Linked DNA regions of Drosophila melanogaster. The protein of the gene in region 2 purifies or fractionates together with the protein of the main gene of each other region. This does not show direct contact. Each region holds a gene or a part of one and is shown on either strand. Other genes may lie near its edges. The genes, in order: eEF1alpha1 and grau.

Region 1 (7,226 bases), 9.1 Mb from region 2:
CGGTGCAGTTCAACAATATGAAGGAGCTGCTCCTGCTGGGCGGTGCCACCCTGACCGAGAACCGCTTCAAGGCCAAGTACATCATCGGGGACAAGCGGCGCGCCGAGGACGATCGCGTCTATCTCGATCCTTACTGGGTGCTGGACAGCATCACGAATATGCAAATTCAGCGCTTTGGCAAATATCTTATGAAGAGCGCCATTATCTCGGCCGATGGGATCCGGTACGAGGATCCTAGGGATCGCGATGAGGACAAAACACAAAGAAGGCACCTTCACGACTTCGTCGATCCACCGTTTGTGCTGGACAAATAGAGATCAGTGGGTGCATCCACTTCACTTTACTAAATATTTAAGCTAGGACACACAGAGTACCATTTTCCCACACTGTTTCACCTTTTTGTGCAAATTACTCCAATGTAAATATAGTTATATTTAAATCCATATATGTATTTTACGATCTTAGTTTATTTTCTAGTACATTTTTTAATTTGTTTTTATACAGATTTTACGAAGGAAATAATATATCCCATAACTTTAAACAGAAATTATAAAAAAACACTTGTTCCAACTTCGTTCGTTATTATTTAAATAAATAAATCAATGCATTTTTCTCTATTTGCGATGAGAAATAAAAGCCCCCCCCCCCCCCTCAAATACAATAAAAAATATTCATTATTCTTCAGATGCAATTGCTTGCTTTATTTAAACGATTGAGGTATTTGTTGTCAGATTCAATTGTTGTACTCTTCGACTAGCTCTTGTTTGTACTTTGTGGCATCGACGATAAGTGAACTTGGAGTTAGGGACGATCGATCATGGCGCTGAAAATCGGGAGGCAACAAGCAAAGAGAGTGCTCTTTTACGGGCTGGGTGGTAAAAACAAAAGAAATACAAAAATAGGGTTTTTATTTTTTTTGTAAATATAGTTATCGCTTCTATTCTGGTTCTTTTCTTGTGTACAAAGTAGTGTGTGCAAAAGTAGGGTAAGATAAATGATACATATCAAAGTATAAAGGTTAATTTAAACGATATCATAAATGCTACAGAGGATTCCTATATATGATATGATAAAACGAAGTCAACTCCGTGCATCATACCATATTTAGTAAACTAAAGATCGACGGGGAAGTGGATGAGGAGTGGATGCATAAATGCAAGTGTTTTCCCAGTGTGCACTCTTATCCTTGGGATCCACCGTTTCCCAATTTAGGCGGCCTCGTCTGCATTTAGCATTCGTATCCGTCGAAACTCCTTTCGATGGAAGAAATTAAACTTATGCTTCTGCTGAAACATCATCTTATCGGTCATCTTGCGCAGGACAGGTGTTGGTGTTATACTACTATTGTGTTCGCTGCTGCTGTTGCTGGTATTATTGAGTGGTGTTGTTGGCTGCATTATGATGTTGGTTATATGCTTGTTGTTGCTGCTACTACTGCGTGTTGTTGTTGTTGTTGAGTGGAAGCAAACCAGCTACTTCTTGCCCTTGGTGGCCTTCTCGGCGGCCTTGGTGACCTTGCCACCGGAGGCATCCTTGAAGTTGACAGCCTTAATGACACCGACAGCCACGGTCTGCCTCATGTCACGCACAGCGAAGCGACCCAGAGGGGGGAACTCCTGGAAGGCCTCCACGCACAGGGGCTTAGAGGGCACCAGGTTGACGATGGCAGCATCGCCAGACTTGATGAACTTGGGGTTCTCCTCGGTGGTCTTGCCGGAACGACGGTCGACCTTCTCCTTGATCTCAGCGAACTTGCAAGCAATGTGAGCGGTGTGGCAATCCAACACGGGGGTGTAGCCGTTGGCAATCTGACCGGGGTGGTTCAGCACGATGACCTGGGCGGTGAAGTCGGCGGCTCCCTTGGGGGGGTTAGCCTTGGAGTCACCGGCAACGTAGCCACGACGCAGCTCCTTCACGGACACGTTCTTGACGTTGAAGCCAACGTTGTCTCCGGGAACGGCCTCCTGCAGGGCCTCGTGGTGCATCTCCACGGACTTGACCTCAGTGGTGATGTTAGCAGGGGCGAAGACCACAACGGTACCGGGCTTCAGCACACCAGTCTCCACACGACCCACGGGTACTGTTCCAATACCGCCAATTTTGTACACATCCTGCAGGGGCAGACGCAGGGCCTTGTCGGTGGGACGGGCTGGGGGAAGGATGGCATCGAGGGCATCGATCAGGGTCTTGCCGTCAGCGTTACCCTCCTTGCGCTCCACCTTCCATCCCTTGAACCAGGGCATGTTGGTAGAGGGTTCCAACATGTTGTCGCCGTGCCATCCGGAAATGGGCACGAAGGCAACGGCGGCTGGGTTGTAGCCGATCTTCTTGATGTAAGAGGACACTTCCTTCTTGATTTCCTCATAACGGGCCTCGCTGTATGGTGGCTCGGAGGAGTCCATCTTGTTCACACCAACGATCAGCTGCTTCACACCCAGGGTGAAGGCGAGCAGGGCGTGCTCGCGGGTCTGGCCGTTCTTCGAGATACCTGCCTCGAATTCTCCGGTTCCGGCGGCGACAATCAGCACGGCGCAATCGGCCTGCGAGGTACCAGTGATCATGTTCTTGATGAAATCCCTGTGTCCGGGGGCATCAATGATGGTCACGTAGTACTTGGCAGTTTCGAACTTCCACAGGGCGATATCGATGGTGATACCACGCTCGCGCTCAGCCTTCAACTTATCCAAAACCCAGGCGTACTTGAAGGATCCCTTTCCCATCTCCTGGGCCTCCTTCTCGAACTTCTCGATGGTACGCTTGTCGATACCACCGCACTTGTAGATCAAGTGTCCGGTGGTGGTCGACTTACCGGAATCGACGTGTCCGATCACGACAATGTTAATGTGAATCTTTTCCTTGCCCATGTTGGATGATTACACTATGGCTGTTGTGTGTATTCGAGTGTTGGATTGACGGAACGTTGGAACATTGGAAGGTTGCAGGGTTCGGCGGGTTGGCGAGCAAGAGAGGTTGGAATAAACAAAGGGTAAAACAATTCGTTAGCATTCGGTGGGATTACAACTACAATTATTAGTGGGTATAACACTTTCTCATTTCCCTAGCGTACGTTCGACTTTTGTTTGCATGCGCGAGCACAACCTAACCTCAAACTCTTGCAGCCGTACAAAACGTGTTTTTTGAGGTTAGGTCCAGTGCCCGCATGTAAGGGTGTGGGTAAAACGAGTGGGGCGCAACTACAGAAAAGAGCGTGCAAATAAAATTCCATATGGAAACTCGATTTTGTTTCAGTGATTTTGGTATTTTTGCTTTCGTCAACTGTCTTCAGTAGCAGAACTGAAAAATCATCATCATGTTAAATCGAAGAGTCCAAAGGAAAATTCCAGCAAATTTAATTCGCAAATACACATGTGCTTATCTGCCTATGCGTGTGTATATCTATGCCTGTGTATTTGTGTGACGCTGTTGCCGGCCGGAGGAAAAGTAAGAGAGGAATAGAGAGAGAGAGAGACCAAAATGGCGGATGTGCATTAGTGTGCGTGTGTGACTTGTACAAATGCAAGCGATCTCGCCGCGGTGGCACAATTGGTAATTGGAAAGAAATGAAAAAGAGAGGGGCACACAACGAATTATTCAAGAACGTAGTGCAGCGGCAGCCATTTTACCAAAACCAATTATGGAGTCGGTTGGAAATGGCGAAATAGCTGATGCGAGTGCCATTTCACCAGATATGCTAATGGGCTGGAAACCCAAAAAAGCACATTTTTTCGCTTGTTGCCAGGCGAATTTTTTTCGCCCACTTGACTCACGCCACTGGGTCGCCATTTTAGAATTCCATGCCGCAAAAAGAAAGAATAAGGAATATCTATAGGTCATGACAAAGGCAAGAGAGAAAGCACGTTTTTTTTTCTCGGTTAATGAGCACATCTGGTGGATGACCTCTGTGTCCGGCGTGGGCGTGGCAAAGTAATTACACACTAAGTGCACCATATTGCAGGGCGAAAATGCGGCCGGAAAAGCCGGAAAATTATTTTGAGAATGCTGGGAACTTTAACTGGGAACGCCAGTTAAAATTTTTGCCTTTGCAGACTTGCCACGTGTTTGCTTCTATGGCCACCTTTCACTTTGGAAAACCGCAGTTAGAGGTTATCTCCGGGTTTATTACACACACACAGGAAAAACACTGGAAATATGCACAAATTCGGCGTCTCAGCTGCATATTTGTTTATAAATTGTTTTCTGGCTGCAGTCCCGTTGCAGAAATTACTTAATTATAGCCTCGCAGGTAAAACTTACTCTCGAATAAGCTGAATGAGAAATCACGAAGTCTAAGCGGCGACGGATTCGAACAAAGTGAACGAGCGTTCGGCAGAGCTCAGCACAGGAAGCCTCGTTTGACACATGGTGTGACCGAAGCTACGCAACTGTCAAAAGAGCAGAAACCGTGTTCTCACTGCGGTGTTTCCACTACGCGCGAATGAAGCACTTCATTTTATTGAAATTTAAGTGATTGAAAGTGGCAAAATACAATAACCTAACGATTGAGGGATTTAAAAAACCTTGTTTGCTCGACATTGTTTTTATATGAAAAACTAAATAATCAGTGATTCCAAAAATATTTTCTACAAAACGATGTCTATAATTTCTATACGTAATATTGGAACACATATCTCTTAATATTTAAAAACTATAACAATTGCATTAGTAGTCCGCATTTTGAACTTTTAGACTAGAACCTGAACTTTAATTTGTATGTGAACCCTAACGTAATAGAACTTTAAATAACAATAGAAGCTTGAGATCGTTTAAATTTATGTAATACGTTTCATTTATTTATACATTTTTTGGCGTCCGTTGCTACAACTAAAATATGCTACAAATAAAACTATAAGTAATTTGGTATTGTATCAATTTATACAATATTGTAAAAATTTATAACTTAAGATCTCACGTTTTAATACTTTTTCTTCTGGAATTCATCAGAATGCTAATATTTATTTGAATTTGTAACTTACTGCTTAATATTTTTTGTTAGACTATTTTTTCACTCAGTTTTCACTTGTACTCAATAAATTTATTCATTGTGCATAGAACAAAAGTTGTTAGCCTGCCCCTTATATAGGACGCAATTAAAAGTTCCTAAGTGTTTTCCTAATTTTGTGAAATTAATTAATTAGTTATTAATAATATGATTATTGTTATGCTTGCGAAATCAGTTAACAATAAATGCAATTACCATCTTTTATGAAATGATAATTTGACAAAATTTTATTATAAATCGGTATCAATTAAATTAATTTAAATCTAGATCTCAACTTTTCTGTGTGACTGGAAAGAATTATAGCTAAAGCATTTAAAACCCACACATATAGACATTAGTCATTAATAAATGATGAGCCATCTTTATTTATTGTTTACATATGCAGGAAAGCTCACAACTGAGAGCTTTTTCCAACTTTAGACATTTTCGGCCTAGCCCCACCTGGCCACACTACGACGAAACAGAATAAGAAGCGACGTGGCGAAAGAGGCAAAAAGCGAATTCAATCGTTGAAAAATACCGAACCGGTCCGGTACTCAGTTTTTGTTGTAGAAGTAGGCGTTCGACGGCCTAGTTGAACTTGAATTATTCACCGATATCGCTTCAAGTGAACCCAAATAATGATGTGGCGCCTTGCTGGAGTGCTCCTACTAGGCTTCATCGCCATCTCGTCCGGAGCGGAGCAGGATGTCCTGGAACTGGGGGACGACGACTTTGCCACCACCCTAAAACAACACGAGACGACGCTGGTCATGTTCTACGCCCCCTGGTGAGTTAGTGAGTGGGCGTGGCCGGGCGCCATCCTACAACAAATGCATTGCGTGTGCGATTCGCGTATAATCCGCTTGTTGCGTCCGCAACTTAATTCGATTCCCAATGCCCAGTGCCGACCGATGCCCGATTTTCCGGCCATCGCAAGCGCAAAGTACACGTCAGCGTTTGCCTTGCTTTTGCCGGCAAATAAAGAAGGAACGAGTGACGGAACGAAACGAGACGCAAAGAGAGGGGCAATGATGATATGCCAGTATTGGTGCCGTCGGCCATTTTAGAGCGCGGGGTGCCAAAGTGCCTAGTTGGTACAATTTCCGTGCAATTCCTGCTCCACTTGTCCACTGGCTAATGATAGTGAGCAGGCATAGGGGCCCCAGTGTACATAGCGCATCTTTTATTATAGTTTCTTATGCCTATGCATTATACCCATAATCCCAGGAATGTGTAATTCTAAGGGTTAACTTAGATTTAGCTTGAAACTGGTTATCATAGTCTGAAACACTCACAGTTCTCATACAAATGTAATTTCCCAACAGTTTACACCAACCATATTAAAACTTCAATTTTAATTGCCTGCCTACTCACAAAAGTTATGCTGATTGTGCTATAAATTTCTCATGTCAGTAGACACATTTTTAACTTCCATCGTAATCCACACTGAACACAATAACCTTTTAATACATTTTTGTTTAGTACATAACACATATTTACTGTGCCTATTTACTCTCTTTTGAGCCATTTGTTTGCCCATTATCAGGGGTAAACTATAAGCTCACACTTGGACAATGAACTAGGTAAATTATTAGCGTTTTTTTTGCCGGCCGGCTTTCGAAATCCCCAAAGAGCTGTTGAACTACTTGGCATGGAGACTTGATTCCCTCATGACGAACCTTATCAGTATTCAAGCATAAATACACAGGGATGAAGTTGAAAAAGTTGTACACTGCAATAAAACTGCTCTTTTCATTATAACATAGTTAACTTAAGGCATCACTTATCTTTATCAAAAATGAATTATTATCTGCACTGCTAAGAGTGCAGACTATACTCTGCTGTTTCAAATAAGTACCAAGTCGTTTTTCTCTCTGTATGCCTAATGGGCACTTGTACTTGTGTGATAAGACAGTTGATAATTCCAGCACCCTTACTTTAATTACAAGCTAGTTTTTTGGGAACTTGTCTTCCCGTTGCCTTGATAACAAATGATGAATTAGATAGTATTGTTACCAACATAATGTTTAAGTGACGTGTCCTAACAGAGTGTTTTTTCCTGTTTAAGGTGCGGCCACTGCAAGCGATTGAAGCCCGAGTACGCCAAGGCGGCGGAGATCGTGAAAGACGATGATCCGCCAATCAAACTGGCCAAGGTTGACTGTACGGAAGCTGGAAAGGAAACGTGTAGCAAGTACTCCGTCAGCGGCTACCCAACGTTGAAGATTTTCCGTCAGGATGAGGT
Region 2 (5,185 bases):
CTCGATGTTCAAGTAGTAGTTATGCAGGTTATCAAAGATGTCCAACAATTGTTTTTCCACACTAAATAATAGGGGATATTTCAATGTGTATGCTTTGATAAACATATATACATACGATTTACGGAAGAACGAAGCATTCGCAACTTTAACAGTGCAGTTGTGCAGTATATCTGAGATCAGATAAAGTCGAGCAATCTTCTTTGAAGCCAATGTATTGATATTTGACAGAGACTCGGCGATGCACTCGCAGATTTCATCAGCCGCATCTGCGTGCTCAATGCAGAAGATCATGGCATCTCCAATGCGGGCGCGTTCAGGAGTTAAGTGCCTAATCAAATCCTCGAGTCGGTTGCGTTGCCTATTTCAGTATACATTTACAGTACAGTAAACATTTATGTTTCGAGGATTATCTATGCTAAACGTACGCATTGGACAAGGCTCCTTTGTGCACCACAGGAGCATCGGGATCAACAACCAGCTCATCTGGCATGCCTTGAGTGTAGAAGTTGGCAATCGGGGGCTTCCAAACCGGTCCGTTTTTAAACATACGGAATTCCTCCTCCCGCCATTCATTGGGCGTATCGCCCTGTAGCAAAGAGAACAGCTTCCATCGGTAGTAGATGTGGGCAGGACTCTCGTTGTCGAAGAGGAACGCAAAGAGCGGATTCTCCATTTCCCGAATCATGATCAAAGCCTCAAACATCGGTCCCTCGCGTATTACAAACTCGATCATCCGATGGATAACATTAAGAACAGCCCTGGAAAAAAAGAAAAGCACAGTAACGTGAGTTCTTGTTAAGTGAATGTCCTTGGTGCAATTCATACTTCTCTGTGGGTATATGGACTTTAACGACGCATTTGGCAAGTATCTACAAAATTGAACATTTTCATTTTTATTTCTTTAGACGCTAGCAGGTGATTATTCACTTACCCGCTCCATATTCTCTTTGTCCTCTTGGTTGAACTCCTTGTAGTTTTTCTTGGGCAGCACATCAGCTTCACTGGGTGGAGGTTGGGCATTGAAGGGCAATCCTGAAGGAGGCGGAGGCAGGGTCATCTCAAGCAATGCTTGCGGTGTAAAAATGGGCGTATTCATTATGGGCACAGTCTTTCCTGAAATATTAAGTAAGATGTATGAGGAATAAGAACTTCAATATAAGATCTATAGATTACCCCATCCTAGACGCATCTCGTAGCCCATGATGTAGCGCCCGTTCAGTGTCTTTAGGGCCCTTTCCGCATCCTTGCGGCTCATGTAGGCCACAAAGCCGCAATTGCGTCCCCTTTGCTTCTCCTCTTCGGAGCGGGGCCACATGATCTTGATACTGGCCAAGGGACCGTATCGCCCAAAGATTTCCATAAGCTGCTGCTCGGATATCTTGGGGTTCAGGTTGCCCAGGTACAGGTTTGTGGTATTTGGATCGCCCGTGTCAAACGAACCAGACTCCTTTGAGCTGCTTGAGTTCTGGGAGGTGGTGGAGACACTGCTGCTGGGCACAGGAGCAGCTGATGCAGCCGGTTGCTGTGCTGGTGCGGAATGGCTTGAGGCCATGTGCTTGTACTTGTGGCGCTCCTCACGCTCCTCTTGAATCCTGTGGGCATGAAACAATTAGTATGGAATACACACATGCACAACCAAGTGGGCCTACTGTCTCAATTCCTCCTTGAACAGCTCCAAGTTGCTCTTTTTCTTCTCCTGGTTTTTCTTCTTCAATGGACCCGAGTCCTTTTTGAGATCCGAGGCCAGGGTCTTGGCGTAATCCTCGACCTTGTCCGAGGAGCTCTTTTCCATCAGCTTGGAGACCGGCTTGTATAGCTTGCCCTTCTCCGACTTGTCCTCCCGCCGGGATCCTGCATCATAGGTGCCGGCTTTGACCCAAACTTTCGAGGAGGGGGTGGGTGCATCTTGGAAAGTCTCTACGAACTCTTTGAAGGCCTAAAAATCGTATTGGATTATAATGCGTGGAGGAGGGATTTGCTAGAGGCGCCTACATGTGCCGCAGCAGCTGCATCCTCCTTTTTTTTCTGGTCCTCGAGCTCTTTTTTGGACAATTGTCGTTTGGAGAAGGTGCCCACCGTGAAGGCCTCCAACTTCTTTTCGCTTATCCGCTGAAAACAAGACCGAAAAATGTTAGGCTCGTTTTTCCGGCTACACAGGACACCTTTACTTTTAAAGTGGCGGATGCGGCAGCCGAATCCTTGCTTTTATTCCCTTGTTTACTCATCTTTTCCACACAATATGCACATTATCAGCAAATACGAAAATAGGAAAACCAACAATTTGCCAGTGTGACCGACGTCGTACAACCAGTGCACAGAATGAACAGCGAACAAATCACGATGCAGCCGATAGTTGCGATGGGAGTTATCGACAGAGCTATGTAAATGACTACTTTTTATTATAGTTTTATCAAATAAATGCGAAATGGATATCTGCCGCCTCTGTTTACGCGGAGTGAGCGGCGCCCAGATGTGTCTACAGATCTTCGATGTGGACTCGGGCGAGAGCAAGGTGGCGGAGGTGCTGCGCCAACATTTCTGGTTCGAGGTAAGCTGCTGCCCTCCACCCACTTTTGTGCCTGGGAATCTTTTTTTACCACCATCTCGTCTCCGGAACGCGTACAGGTACTGCCCAACGACGAGATATCCAAGGTTATTTGCAACGTCTGCTGGACGCAGGTGTCCGAGTTCCATCAGTTCTACGTGTCCATACAGGAGGCCCAGGTGATATACGCCACCACCTCCAAGTTCAAGCAGGATCCGGAGATGGTGAACACCTCCTGGCCGGAGGAGGTGCTCATGCCGGCCGACGTCCTTGCCGTCGACAACGATGTCGGTGCGCAGATAAATGTGAATCCCCTGGACGAGTTAGACCTTAGCCAACCCATGTCCCCGGAAGACAGCAAGGTGGGCATCAAAACAGAGCGACAGTCACCCGACATGGAACTCCTCTTTGAGGATGCCAACAATGAACAGGATGAGGACTACGAGGACGACGAGGATGATGACACCGACGACCTGATCGTGACCCGGAGTGGACGCAAACGTAAACGGGACGTGGCCAAGCCGGCTAAAACGAAAAGAGGAACGGTGTCGGTGGGCAGAAAGGGGAAGGAGAAGATGGTGGTCAAGCGGGGACCGCCCAAGAGGATATTCAAGATGGAACGCCTGCCGCCGTTTTGCAAAGAGGACGAGGAACTGATCAAGCGCTACATAGTCATGGGCTGCGAGCTGTGCATATTCTTGGCCGAGGACTTCGACGGCATCCGCGAGCACTTCAAGGACAAGCATCCGGACGAGCGGCCCTACATCAAGTGCTGCGGACGCAAGCTCAACAAGCGCTGCCTCATCCAGGAGCATGCGAGGAGGCATGAGAATCCCGAGTACATCAAGTGGGTCTCTCTTACCCAAACCAATTCGAAGCGATTTGATAATTAGCTTTCCTTTCCGACAGATGCAAGGACTGCGGAAAGGTGTTCGCCAATTCCAGCGTATTGCGTGCCCACTGGCTGGTCCACCATGTTCCAGACGAGGAGTGCGACTTCCAGTGCGAGGACTGCGGCAAACGCTTCTCGCGACGCAACCTGCTCGAACTGCACAAGGGCTCCCATGTGCCCGTAAATGAGCGCAAGTTCATCTGCCCGCAGTGCCCCAAACACAATGCGTGAGCCTCGCCAGCTAAACGGCAGTGTTTCCAATGCTTATCGTTCTCCTTTCACACCACAGTTTTGCCACGGAGTACCACATGCAGGTCCATATCAGCATGCAGCACCGCAAGGCGGCCAATATCTGCCATGTGTGCGGCAAGAAGATCAAGGACAAGGCTGTCTTCGAAAAGCACGTTCGCCTGCACTTCGAGGAGAGCGGACCACGGATCAAGTGCCCGCGTCCTGACTGCGAGAGCTGGCTGAAGGACGAGGACAATCTTAAGCAGCATTTGAGGCGCCACAACGACGAGGGCAAGCTGTTTATCTGCTCAGAGTGTGGCAAGAGCTGCAAGAACTCCCGCGCGCTGATTGGTCATAAGCGCTACTCCCACTCGAATGTGATCTACACCTGCGAGCAGTGTGGCAAAACCTTCAAGAAGGACATCAGCCTTAAGGTTGGATAATACATATTACCCTTATTTATTTATGTGTTGTATTAAAGCGATTGATGTTTGCAGGAGCATATGGCGCAGCACACTGGCGAGCCACTCTACAAGTGTCCCTTCTGTCCCCGCACCTTCAACTCCAACGCCAACATGCACTCCCACAAGAAGAAAATGCATCCGGTGGAGTGGGACATCTGGCGAAAGACGAAGACCGGTAGCTCACAGAAGGTCCTGCCCAGCGCCCAAGTGGCGCAAATGTTCCGGGACGATGCCGATGTCGCAGCTATTGCCAATGACTATTCGGGTTAGGCCCGGAAATGCTTAAGGAAATCGATTTGCGGAAACCATTGCTTAGTTTTTGATTGACCTTTGTTTGAAAACAAAATATATGTATAATAGGAATTATTTGAAAGTACGAGCGGTTTGTTGTCATATTGGTGGGATTTTTGGCTATTTACATTTTAATTAAGTTTTTTGAATTTAAATGTTTCATTTAGCTACATTCAGAAATATTGTTTTTGAATTTAAAAAATTTACAGTGTGAATGTCTTGAATTTTTCAATTGGAAAAAAAAGGTATGATGGTTGAAGTATCCGCTTTGTTTATTACAGTAGACTGGTCACACTGCCAGCTGCTAAAATAATAGAAAACAGTCTGCGTGGACAAACATTTAATTAAAATGAATGTAAGCACTTTATTAACGAAATCTTTGGGAATATTTCGCTCATCAGCATTTTATTTGAGCAGGAGTCCGAGATCCCCATCGACATACACACGCTGAAGCTGCAGGACTGGCTGATCAGCCGCAGAATTGTGCCCAAGAATGTGCAGCAGGAGCTTAGGGAGATCCACAGGAAGATTAGCAACGCCCTGCAGGACATGCCCTCCAATGAGCAGCTGATCAAGCTGTTGGCCCGGACAAGTAGGTGCCCAGTGCCCAGAATGCCATCCCACTAATGTGTCCCACTTGCAGATATCAACTACTACCATGTGAAGGAGATCATTGAGATCCTCAAGCAGACGGAGAAGGACACCAAGAGCGTGTTCGGCACCTACGGCAGCCAGCGCATGAAGGACTGGCAAGAGATTAGC

The links.
Region 1: the proteins of grau (region 2) and eEF1alpha1 purify together in Drosophila melanogaster (affinity purification with western blotting; one study listed by BioGRID). This does not show direct contact.

Annotation. Positions count from the first base shown.
Region 1 is NT_033778.4:11,889,213-11,896,438, reverse strand, and holds eEF1alpha1 (eukaryotic translation elongation factor 1 alpha 1), read right to left. Parts: upstream 5,305-7,226; 5' UTR 5,195-5,304; intron 5,044-5,194; exon of another isoform or gene 4,974-5,043; intron 4,318-4,973; exon of another isoform or gene 4,255-4,317; intron 3,317-4,254; exon of another isoform or gene 3,244-3,316; intron 2,898-3,243; exon of another isoform or gene 2,885-2,897; 5' UTR 2,865-2,884; coding exon 1,473-2,864; 3' UTR 919-1,472; downstream 1-918. Other genes in the region: MCPH1 (microcephalin), read left to right, coding at 1-314; ERp60 (endoplasmic reticulum p60), read left to right, coding at 5,620-5,768, 7,050-7,226. UniProt on the Drosophila melanogaster protein: This protein promotes the GTP-dependent binding of aminoacyl-tRNA to the A-site of ribosomes during protein biosynthesis.
Region 2 is NT_033778.4:21,009,086-21,014,270, reverse strand, and holds grau (grauzone), read left to right. Parts: upstream 1-2,349; 5' UTR 2,350-2,425; coding exon 2,426-2,548; intron 2,549-2,625; coding exon 2,626-3,392; intron 3,393-3,454; coding exon 3,455-3,664; intron 3,665-3,726; coding exon 3,727-4,102; intron 4,103-4,165; coding exon 4,166-4,402; 3' UTR 4,403-4,507; downstream 4,508-5,185. Other genes in the region: CG9346 (uncharacterized protein), read right to left, coding at 1-61, 116-358, 426-758, 826-869, 932-1,113, 1,174-1,592, 1,650-1,936, 1,993-2,109 and 1 more; CG30291 (uncharacterized protein), read left to right, coding at 4,773-4,778, 4,841-5,015, 5,067-5,185.